Linked DNA regions of Xenopus tropicalis. The protein of the gene in region 1 purifies or fractionates together with the protein of each later gene. This does not show direct contact. Links are inferred from orthologs where the notes say so. Each region holds a gene or a part of one and is shown on either strand. Other genes may lie near its edges.

Region 1 (6,397 bases):
AGGGAGTTCCTCCTTTTGATTGGTAACCTTGTGCTAGAAAGACAAAAACACCATTTTGATATGTGAAAAGATCAATGGAGGATGAGCAAGAAAATCTCTACATTGTCAGAACTATGACACTTTTGGTGCAAGTTGTAAACTCCTAGTTATCTACAACCTCGGCATGTTCTGTTTGTGACCCCACTGGGGCAGGAATGGAGTGCGTCACTTAAGCAGGTCTTTTCACGGCATTCTACTCCCTTGCTCAGACAAAGCAGCATGCATACTGGCCTAGGGACACTGGCTGCCTGTGTAAGCTAGATTAGCCTGTAAGTGGGCAGACATTTGGTGGGCAGCCTGAGACAGTGGTCCCTCGGCTTCCTCAGGTTTGTGAATGATTACACAGAACTTACAGGAAAGGGGAAAGAAGTGGGTGGGGTCAGCAGCCAAAGAAAGGATACTCTTCCTGCAGCCATTTGTATTTCTACAGAAATTCTCTTTAAATTCAGCTTAGTTTAACCAGGGTACCATGATTCCCACTACTGTATCTTTAACAAACATACTTACTGTCCAAGCCTGTCAGAATTCTGAGTCGATTTCTGAAACCTAAGAGGGAGAATAAAGTGCATTTTAAATATGAGCGAAAAGCAGTTATGGCGACTTCTGGGGAGAGTCAAGCAATGTGCATTCATATAACACTGAGTTGGAGACTCTGGAATGGATATCATTTGCATAGTTACAGGTATTTGTTAATTAAGCTAAACAGCGTGTAAACCTTATGAATGCCTGAAATGTGTTTTACTGGAAACAGCTGAAAATGGAGAATCACTGCCCCTTTAAAGGGGAAGGTCCATTACACACCATAGCAATCCCCTTAAGTTTGCCAGGCAGGCTCGCTAAACTGTGCCACGGGCAAAACATTTCAGCCCTGAGAAAAGCATGGCTGCCAGTAGTTTGATTTGCACTGAAAAGGTGAAAGCACAGATACGTACGTTTCTTCCGTGTCATTTAGATCCATCTTGATTGGAGAATCCAGACAGAGTCCTGCAAACAAAATGGGAGTCAGGTAGTGAGAAGCAAGAAAGACCTCCATTTACAAGTCACTGTAACCAGATCCTTACAATACATCTGTATATACTGAAGCCATTTATGTTATGGCAAAGACATACCAGCGTCCATAGATTCCGAAGAGTCTGTTCTTCTCATAGACCAGCGCTCTCCGAGCTTACGTGTCGGCGTTTCACACTGGCTAAAATAGGAAGAAAAAAAAAAAAAAAAAAGACTTTAAGGACGTCCTATAACTATAGTGGTATATTAAAAACAAACAAAAAACACGATTTTGAATCTTTGCCACAGCAACCAGAAAACAAAAAAAACATGCTTACTACAAACATAGAGGTTTTGCACTTTAATCTGAGGCTCAGTCATTTCAGTTATCACCCCAATACTAAATACAATGGATTATTCCCTCAGCACCCACTACTGATATAGAAATTGCTTTACACAGACTTTCAGCACTTCTTAGATATCACCTAGATGGCAAATGCATATGATTTTTGGGGGGGGGGGGGGGGGGGGGATACAAAGCTTTGCCTTAATAACAGTGTTCACAAAATGGTGCCTCCCTGCTGGCTGTGACTAAGTTCCAACACGTATAATAAAAAAAATTATATAGTTTAAGTTTATTTTGCTCAACTAACATGATAGAAAAGGACTTGGAATTATTTATTACAGGTCCACTTTAATGGATAGCCTGTTCCTAGTGGGCCATATGCTGCAGGACAAGTAGCCAGTTAAATGGCTCTCAGTCTGAGCGGAACTCTGGCACACATGGAACAAGTGGGGGTAAAATGACCCTCAGTACCCTGAGAAGGTTGTCAATCTACCCCCACTGCTGGGCACCAGGGCCTTGTATAAAAGACTATGGGTTTGCGGATTAGTTGTGTGCAATATTTCAGTCTGAGGAGCTGGGAAAGGTTTCTCTGAAACGCGGGGAATAAAAGGAAATGCACCACCCTTGCTGACTGTTCCACTAGTAGATTTTAGCCCCTTTATAGCAATGATCGCCTCCTTCTGCTTTCAGCATTGCTGGGAACGAACATGCCCAGGTTTCATTCCTAGTAACCCACATGTGCAAGGAAAATGGCTGCCATTCCACATGTGACACCCTGTTGCTGTAAATACTTAGGGGCATAACTCCTAAGTGCCATGTTTATTTGCAGGATGTCCAACAAGCCAAATGACTGCATTGCATGGAGATCCAGGCTGTAAACACATGACTGCATTGCACAGAGATCCAGGCTGTAAACACATGACTGCATTGCACAGAGATCCAGGCTGTAAACACATGACTGCATTGCACAGAGATCCAGGCTGTAAAGACATACTTTGCTGAAGTCCCACAATCACTGTGCCCAGTCTCAACAAGCAAATACATCAAATCTGCAGACATAAGTCAGGCACCCACTATAGTTTGTAAAGCCACCATTAGAAGGAGGGGCTAAAACAAAAATACCATTAACAAGCCAAGGAGGGGGCAAATGGGTTTCTTAAAACAACCCCCCCCCCATAGCCTCTGACCCATTCATCCAAACCTGTGTCTCTAGGTGCCTAGGTTAAACTACATCTCCCTGCACAACATAACATGGGATAATGGAAGTAGTTCAGCAACAGCACCGCAGACTCAAGATTGAGTAGAATGGGCCCTTGCAATAAGCCAAGCCAGGGTCCCCAATCCAGGAGATATTGATATACATAGACCATCATACAGGTTGTTTTGGGCTACAACCCCCAGCACCCTTAGAAAGTCTATGGCTGAAGGTACATGTTGGACACCCTCAGCAGAACAGATGTGACCATGAAGCCTTTTCTGTCCAACCCAACAGTCAAACCACATAAGTAGTAATTCCTCATGGCCATTACCTGCCCAGGCCTGCCAGTTGGTCCATATTGATAGCGAGGCTAGTGACCGGAGATAGGGCAGTGTCTGCCTCGCAAGAGAACAGGGACTTAACCACGGGGAGGCCAGAGAGGCGGTTGGATCCTCTGACATGAGCCGGAGCTGAACGACACCTCTCCATCTTCACACTGAAAATGATGCGGCCGGGCACAGCAACCTCTGCAACGAGAAGAAAGTACATAAGGCATAATGGTAGAGAGGGGCGGGTTCACTAAGCTAGCGAGTCATTAGCGCTAAATCTATAGTTTCTAGGGCCATGCGGGCGGGTAATTATTGCGAAGTATAAGCAGACACAAGCAACTCCGCTATATTGTTCCTGTAATGTAAATATATATACATAAAAAACATACAGGGAATTGTAGTGCTCCAAAATCTGGCCTCCGAATCGTAAAAAGGTGATAGCGGCAAAATGAAGGCCCGAGTACCTCTTAGTTGTCCTGCAGCAGCGGAGGTGGGAAGGCCTACCACACGCTACCGACTCCCCGTTAGTTCCGCAGGCTTAGCGTCACCGCTTAGCTTCCGATCAACCACGGAACTAGCCCGATCCACGTCAATCTAATAGACCCTTCCACTTCACGGGCTTAGATTTGGCGCCATGACGGTACAGCGAATGAGGAGCGAGCGTGACAGGTCTCTGGGCCAATCCGCGCCAGCACAGCTGCAGGCTGTAAACCAATCCCGAAGCTGACTGTGGCGCCCTTATTCTCGCGTATCTAGTTCGCATGACTGACAGCACACCCATCCAATGGCAACTCCGAACACGCACAAGCTGAACGATGAATCGATAGTGGCTGCTGGGCGGGAGAAAATGCTGCCAATCGGAGGAGCGTAGACATGGCCAGCGCCGTGAGGCGCGAAAAAAGTGAAAAGTCGTGTTAGTTCCTGTTAGTGACAGGAACTGAGAGTTCTGCGTCATGTAGGGCTGTCTCGCCAAAATGTATGATTTATATGAAGTTTTATGGCAACTGTATCAATAATTTAACTCATTCATTTAGAAATAATTCAGTAACAGTACTAATATTGCGGCAAGGTCGTTTAGAGGTTATGTACATACCTGGGAGCTGTCCCTTATCAGGGCTAGTATAAGGGCAAGAGCAGTTGCAATAGATCTGTGCTATGGCAGGACACTAACTGCTCTGAAAAGGTTTTCCACTGGCAACAATGGGAGTCGCTGATGGAAAGCCTTTCACATCACTTTGTTGTGCGAAGTTGCTTGTGGGAGGAAACTGCGGCTTCAGATTACCGAAATGATGCCAATGGCTTTCCACCGGGCTCCGATTGTTGCCAGTGGAAAGCCTTTTCGCAGAGGTTAGTTGCCCGCAATAGCAGAGATTTATCGCGGGTGACTCGGCTGCTCCGTGGGACATCAGCATATGGGTGAAGACACACGGAGCTACTAGTAGCAGCTACTAAAACAGACAATGCTGATCATTTACTGATAATTGTCTTTACATGTGTTTTAGCAGAGGCAATTCTCAGTATTGTCTATGGTAGGGTGTTTAGTAGCTCTGTGTGTCTTCACCCTAAAGGTCCCCATACACGGGCCGATAGAAGCTGCCGATATGGGTCCCTTGGACCGATTCAGCAGCTAATCGGCCCGTGTATGGGCAGAAATGAGCAGCCTGGCCGACCGATATCTGGCCTGAAATTGGCCAGATATCGATCGGGCAGGTTAGAAAATCCAGTCGGATTGGGGACCGCATTGGCTCGTTGATGCGGTCCCCGAACCGACTGCCCATGGCCGCAAATGTAATCCGATACTTATTTCCCCACAAAGCCATTCCACTGGGTAGAATGTAAATCGCCGGTGGGATGGTATATGCATCAATACGATTTGCCCAAGTTTCCTCTCAAGGCAACTTGGGCAAATCGTATCGATGCATGTGCCATCCCACCAGCGATTTACATTCTAGCCAGTGGGATGGCTTTGTGGGGAGATTAGTAGCCCGTGACAATGGAGATTTGTTGCAGCGCAACTAATCTCCCCATGTACCCCTGTCCTTAGGGTCATATGCCCAAGGCCCAAATGGCAATAGGTGCCCCTGGAGGAGGAATAACTAAAAGATTACATTGTGTAAAAGTTAACGATATCTGCCCTTTTAATATCGTCATCAAACATTTTTATTTGGCTGGCCGATAATATACTGGCCCGTGGCAACCCTGCTTTGAACTTTATGGGACACATTTCAAAATCATTACATTTCAGATTTGTCTGCTTCCCCGCCTGTGATTTTGTTTTTTCTTTTGGAATTCAGCTCTGGCACATATGGCATTTACATTGTAGGGTTGCGACCTGGCCGTCTGGGAAAAATTATGCTTGACCCCAATGTTATAGGGAAAAAAGAAATATAGGAAAGCTAGTATTTTTTCCCAGAATAGGTGGCAACCCTTTGCCCTTTCTATCAGTAAAATATAAACTATATATATTTATTACATTTCAGATTTGTCAGCTGCCCCAATTGTGATTTCCTTGATTTTTTGGAATTAGGCTGTGTCACGTGCAAATTACTATCAGCAAAATATAAACTTGTCTTGCAATCTGACTGATATTTTACAGGCCTGTCTGGTAAAAATGATTTAAGTCAATGTTAATAATAGGGCAAAAAAGATAATACCCTCCTTGGCAGGTGAGCCTTGCATAGGGGCTTGCCAGTGCCAGTAGGTTTTATAACACATGATGTTACAAAATGGGATTGGAGCTGATGATGTTGCTGAACAGCAGGCAGATATAGTTACCGCATGGCTTTCAGCTAACCTATTGTTTCTCCTACTCCCATGTAACTGGAGGAGTCCCAAGCTGGACTTGGATTTCTTACTATTGAGTGCTATTCTGATACCTACTGGGAGCTGCTATCTTGCTCCCTTCCCATTGTTCTGCTGATCGGCTGCTGGGGGGAGGGGGGGGATATCACTCCAACTTGCAGCACAGCAGTAAAGTGTGCCTGAGTCTGAGCTTTCAGAAGGAGCCAGCGCTACACATTAGAACTGCTTTCAGCTAACCTATTGTTTCTCCTACTCCCATGTAACTGGAGGAGTCCCAAGCCGGACTTGGATTTCTTACTATTGAGTGCTATTCTGATACCTACTGGGAGCTGCTATCTTGCTCCCTTCCTATTGTTCTGCTGATCGGGTGTGGGGGGGATATCACTCCAAATTGCAGCGCAGCAGTAAAGTGTGCCTGAGTCTGAGCTTTCAGAAGGAGCCATGCTACACATTAGAACTGCTTTCAGCTAACCTATGGACTTGGATTTCTTACTATTGAGTGCTATTCTGATACCTACTGGGAGCTGCTATCTTGCTCCCTTCCCATTGTTCTGCTGATCGGCTGCTGGGAGGGGGGGGGATATCACTCCAACTTGCAGCGCAGCAGTAAAGTGTGACTGAAGTTTATCAGAGCACAGGTCACATGGCTATGGCACCCTGTTTGTCTTTACACATACCTCTTTAACTCACTGCTCA
Region 2 (5,917 bases), about 42 Mb from region 1:
TGGGCACATTTATGTTCACTCTTAACTTCTTACTGCAAAAAAAAAAAATAAAGAGATTATGTTCCAGCTTCTGAAAGGGAGAGGCCTGATGTCTAAGCCACTAAAGAGACAAGCTTTTTTATGAATAAAGTATCCTAAAAGCTGTTTGCCATGGTGTCAATGCTTCTGCACCACACCAGCTGGATGTTCTAGGCCATCCCATTTAAACCACATCACTTATAAAGGCATTTGTATGTGCCAACGTGTGGAAACTCTGCCCCCAGAGGCAACGCTGAGTCACCTTTAATATGTTGCTAAAACTTACTTCTTATAACCAAGGTAGAGCTTTATTAAAATATCTGGCTTCAAGTCTACATCATCCACATTTGCATTTTCATCTTCTAAAACCTATATTAAAAGAAGGGAAGAAGTTAAAGACATTTGCACTGATGCGCCTTAGTGTTATAAAGGATAAAGGTGTTAAAGTTAAGACAACAAAATGAGGCACATGATCAAACAACCTATAACATACTGAATGCATATCTGATATACTTCGGCCCCACACTGATGCAAAAAACAGAGTACGCAAGGTGATGGTATATTGAGTAAGTGAGCTCTATAATTAGCCAAATATATTTCTTTCCTGCAGTTCCAGCTGTTTGTAGTACAAAAGAAGTGCAGGCTAAACTCACTGGGGTATGCCAATTTCTCAGGCCCTCACTGATTCTTTTTTAAAAAATTGCAGTTGTTTTATCCCCTCCGAAGGATTCCCCTTTGTGAACGAGGGGATATAGCCTAAAAACATTTCTATAGCACATGCATTCACCCACAAATGCTAGGATTAATAGAAAGACAACAAGGGGGTGATTGTAATTTTTGTAATGTATTGTAATTATGGTTCAAAAACTCAAATATTTGATATTTATTGAGTGCAAAAAAAAAAACACCAAAAACTGTAATGTAAAACGTCGGCATCTAAAAGCTTGCGTGTTTACGTAGATGACAATGGAGTTGTCCTAGACAAAACCAAGCCATATTTTCAATTCGAGATTTTTGAGTTTGTAAACTCAAAAATTCAAGGTATTAGTTTTTTTTTTTTTATTCTAATGAGTTTTTCATATTCAGATCTTAAATAAATAAGCAAACATTCAAGTTTTTTTTTTTTTAAATGTTTATTTGAAGTAGAATAAAACTCGATCAAATTTGCTAGGCAACCCCCAGTAATTTTGTTCCTCCTGCAGGTTTGATTGGCCAAAAGGGAAAGTGTACAGACCTATCGTGTACATACACCTATTCAACTTCACTCTTACCATACATTGGCTTTCAAGGCAAGTACCACTTACTACTTTATTTCTCTGTGAGGTAATTTCCAAGTAATTGCTAATTATTATGATTACTCTGATCTAATGAAGAAATACAGCAGATGCACTTAACACAGGCAATGTATAGTAACATATGAGTTAAGCTGTAAGTAACATCTTAAGCATATGTTTATGTCAACGTCGTGTAATTCACGAGATTCTTCTTGTCTTTCAGAGGGCAATGTATAATAATGACACCCAAAATGTAAACATAAATAACCCTGACCATGCTTACATTGGCTATTATGTGGCAACCATCATTACCTAGGGATGACTTGCATTAGAAGGGGAAGCCCTCAACACCAGTAAGGCTTATACCATGCAAGGTGCTGTCAAAATGCCAATCCCATGATTCCTGTCACTGCTTAATGGCCATGGGGTGGGTTAGAGTAGATTGGCATTTTTTTAGTCTGTTGACAAAACACCATGTGACATTAGCCTAAAAGTATATTTTAACGCCTGAAAGCTTACAGTCCCAGGGATCTTTAACTATGTGATAATGATCGCTATGAACACAATTTTTTTTAAAATCTTTTAAAGGGACCCGATTCCAAAATTTCTTCTGAGCTACAGAACTGTATTCAGCCTATTGCTGTTTTAGGCGAACACCAGAAACTGTGAAACTTACCAATAACTTAGACTTCAGCAAAATTTGAAGAACTTGCACAAGTATATCCTGCAAAAAGGAATAAAGGAAATGCAGCAGTGTGATAAGATTAATTTAGAATTAGGAAACACATGAAAACATTTGTAGTCTAATTAGACTTTGTGAACCAAGAGCTTCCATTCTTCTAGCAAGTACATTAGGTGTTTAGGATTACGGCTCATCTTAGTCCAATATGAATTCTGGAGATAAAAGGTTGTCATTACAATGACAGGCGGGACAGGCAGTTCCAGTGCCTCTGCTAAAAATGTGACATTAACCTTTAATCTGACAAGAGTCTGACAATGCTAGAAATGAAGTCATCTACACCCAGAGCTCCAAGACTGGTAAGTGGGAAAGGAGAAGTGTGTTCTGATCAGCACTACTAGTAGCCATCAAAATTGTCCCACATAGGCCTAACCCTAGCTGCCAAAATAGTTATTATTACAGTTATCTCTGTGACAATCTATAATGGCTTTTAACAAACAAGCATAATTTTTATAAGATAGAGGCCTTAAACTGTATACGGTTACCATTTTTATCTGTGTGCTATCTGTCAGTTGCTGCACTGTGTAGGCATCTTCTGTGTTATACTGCAGCAGGATTGCCATCTGGAATGTGGATGCCTGAAAAAGGAATCGGGAAAAAAGACCACAGTATACATCATACATCAAAAGCAAGGCAGTACTAAACAGTACCAAATCATTAGTAATTTTCCATTAGTTCCAACTGCAATGTTACCATGCTGTCTCTCAGTTCTGCACTGCAAACCTCTACTTCACAGTCAACATGTGATGTGCACAATTTGTTTTAGGTATTTAAGCAATACACTTCTTTGCTTGCAACATACCTGCAACGTGTATCTATTTTTAAAGCAGTTTGTGACCAGTTCTCCTTTAGACAACTGGTATAACCAAGTCAACTTCCTTCCACTGTGGCGGCTGGCATAAAAAGCTGTAAACCTTTGATAGCTGCGTTCCAACTGTAAAGGAAGAGAATTAAAACATTTTATTTGTGTTCTGCATATGATAAGTGGGTTGAACTGTCACATTCATAAGAGCACCCACCTATAGTGATTAACTGTATTAATAAACTATAAAGCCAAAGGCTTTTGTTCTCCGTTTCGAATCGTGCTCATGGGAAAGGAAGAATCCTACTACAAGGATAATGGTCCTACCTCCAAAGTGCCAGTTCACTCACACAAGTCCTAATTGGCCCTTACAAACCATCAATTAGTTTGCACCTCCTATGACAGCCCACACAGGACTTCTTGGGTCAGGCTATGCATCCGATTTACAGGTCTTGGAAATGCTCTTCTAAACCTTTAAAGTTGCTTAAGGTGTTAACCTATTTTTACAGGCTTTTACATGAATTTTTTGGTCCACTGAAAACTGTAAAATTTGGGTTGTACTATTCCCATATAATGTAGCCTATTGGAACTCCTATTGCACTTTTCAACCAACAGATGGTGCAAAACACTTAGAAAACCCCACTTAATAAAGAGTAAAATAAGTTACAAGTTACAGTTTGCAACCAATAGGTGGCACAATCATACTAGAATGGCACATTTAATTAAGCATTAAATGCACCAATTAATTACAAATATATCAGTCCACTATAAATCTATATAAAGCTAAAATCAATTTGTGGGTGAAATAAAGAGATTTTCTAACCTGAAAAATCTTTTTCTCGTAGGCCCTACCTGGCAGTGCAAGACATTGGGTTAAGTTATTTCTCTCTGGAGGCAGGACAAACTGATGTCTTTTTTTTTTTTTTTTTGAAAGGTGCATTTTATTAATTTTCATACAAACATAAAATAACACATTTTATAGTGCAATGAGGAAAACGTATTGGACTTTCTTTTCCAGGTCTATCTCTAACATTTGTTACAAACATCAACGGGATAGGTTTAACATTACAGAGTGTGAATGCGAGTCTGGCAACAGTTCCAACATATTGGGTCCGTCACGTTACCGAGTTAGATGTTCAGGGTATGGCAGAAAAAGGTGGGAAGGCGTTGGGGGACTTACTATGCAGCTAGGAGCGGGATCGATCAATTTCCCTCTAGGTCACACCAAGGGCCCCAAATTTTGTCAAATTTATCAGGTGCGTCTCTCGTCTCGTATGTGAGTTTATACAGAGGGGCTACCGCATTCACTAGATTCTTCCAGGCTGTAACGGTCGGCAGGGTAGAGCCCATCCGATCCATTGCGACTGTTTTTTTTGCATAGAACAGGAGAATTCTGTAGCATATCCGGGAGTTATTTTGAGCAATTATACTGTCTAGGACTCCTAGTAAGCTAGTAAGTTTCGGGAGCAGTCACAGTAGGGAAGGCTAAGTTATTCGATAAGTATTTAGTGACTGCTGACCAGAACGTAGCGATATGGGGACATGCCCAGATCATATGAAAAAGTTAGCAGGGCTGGCTGCACATCTCGGGCACTTATCTGTTGGGGTACGGCCCATCTGGTGCAACCTTAATGGTGTGATATACAGGTGATGAAAGGTTTTATACTGTATCAATCTGTCTCTAGTAGAGATGAGACAGTTACACATGGAGTCTGTTGCCTCCTCCCAATCATCTTGGGTGAGTGTTGGTATTTGGGAAGTCCACCATATTTGTGCCGAGTTAAAGGGTTTGGGGCCTTGATAAGTCTTTCTTGAAACCCTTTCTTCTTCGTGTCTCCCCCTCTTACCCCGCAAAGCCTGCTGGGGGAGACAGAAGAACCGAACTATCAATGTGACGAGCAGCAATAACTAGCACCCCAAAAAGGGAGGAATGGTGCACTGACAGTACGGCCTACAAGAAAAGATGTTTCAGGGTAAAAAAAACCAAATCTCCTTTTCTCAGTCGGTCAATGCAGGACAACTGGGGAAGTCCCAAAACCCTCAAAAAAAACCAAAAACAAAACAATGCAGCTGAACTAAGAAAAAGGCATGAGCTAGATATGTTGCTGCTGCTGCTTCTAGCATCTTCCTGCCAAAGACTGCTTCTGAAAAGGCCATAATGGCATGGGACCTATAAGCCTCTCAAATAGCTGCGACTATCCATCTTTCTAAGGAGTGTTTAGATGCTTGTAGTTGCTACAAAACGAACAGGGCATCCAACCTAAACTCAGCAGTACTATGGAAGTAGATTTTAAGCACCCTTACTGCATCCAAAGTATGTAGTTGCTGTTCAAAATCATTAGTTGGCTTTGGACAGAAGTGAAAGTATGATGTGCCCTTAGAAAGGTGAGATTGGACTGTGCAGAGAACTACTTTATCCTGATGAAATGTTGTCCAAGGACACTGATCAGGAGAAAGGCTATCTTCCAGGACAGGAATTCAAGGTCAACCTAGCCATAAGGGTGAAGACAAGCTGAGCTACTAGTAGCAGCTACTTTTTCATGGCTACTAAAACGCCAGAAAATACCCTGCCATGGATACTGAGGCTTGCCTCTGCTAAAACACACGTAGAGACAGTTATCAGTAAATGATCAGCATTGTCTATTTTAGTAGCTACAACAAGTAGCCTGTGTATGTGTTCTGCATCCGCTGGGCCTTGCGAGAGAAGATCTGCAATTAATGGAAGAGGCCATGGTTATGCCGATGAGATCTGTATCAGATCTGCAAATCACACTCTGCACTGCCAACATGGATAGTGGAAAATGGGACGGCATGCGTACGCCATCTGACAGTGCCATGGGCTGATAAGCGCATCCACTCCTTCTGCCAAGACCCCCATCTGTTCACTATATGTTGAAAGACTACTGGTTTGAGGTGCCACTCTCCTTGGTCCAATGTGGAGTGACTCAGATAGTCCGCCTCCCAGTTCTGAATCCCTGGAATGAATACTGCCGATATGAGAATTTAGTGCGTCTCCACCCATCACATAAATTTTGTATACTTTGTAAAACGGTGGTGCTGTTGTCCGATTGTATTCCGACATGC

The links. Proteins that work in one complex are often made in the same cells at the same time.
Region 2: the proteins of cdc25a (region 1) and cul1 purify together in Homo sapiens (affinity purification with western blotting; 6 studies listed by BioGRID, with this or other methods). This does not show direct contact. The link is inferred for Xenopus tropicalis from reciprocal best matches to the Homo sapiens genes CDC25A and CUL1.

What each region holds. Positions count from the first base shown.
Region 1 is NC_030682.2:12,717,784-12,724,180, reverse strand, and holds the start of cdc25a (M-phase inducer phosphatase 1), read right to left. Parts: upstream 3,615-6,397; 5' UTR 3,289-3,614; intron 3,098-3,288; 5' UTR 3,060-3,097; coding exon 2,902-3,059; intron 1,229-2,901; coding exon 1,149-1,228; intron 1,024-1,148; coding exon 972-1,023; intron 586-971; coding exon 547-585; intron 34-546; coding exon 1-33. UniProt on the Homo sapiens protein: Tyrosine protein phosphatase which functions as a dosage-dependent inducer of mitotic progression. Directly dephosphorylates CDK1 and stimulates its kinase activity. Also dephosphorylates CDK2 in complex with cyclin-E, in vitro.
Region 2 is NC_030682.2:55,180,555-55,186,471, forward strand, and holds part of cul1 (cullin-1), read right to left. Parts: intron 2,966-5,917; coding exon 2,834-2,965; intron 2,610-2,833; coding exon 2,517-2,609; intron 2,017-2,516; coding exon 1,969-2,016; intron 388-1,968; coding exon 305-387; intron 33-304; coding exon 1-32. UniProt on the Homo sapiens protein: Core component of multiple cullin-RING-based SCF (SKP1-CUL1-F-box protein) E3 ubiquitin-protein ligase complexes, which mediate the ubiquitination of proteins involved in cell cycle progression, signal transduction and transcription.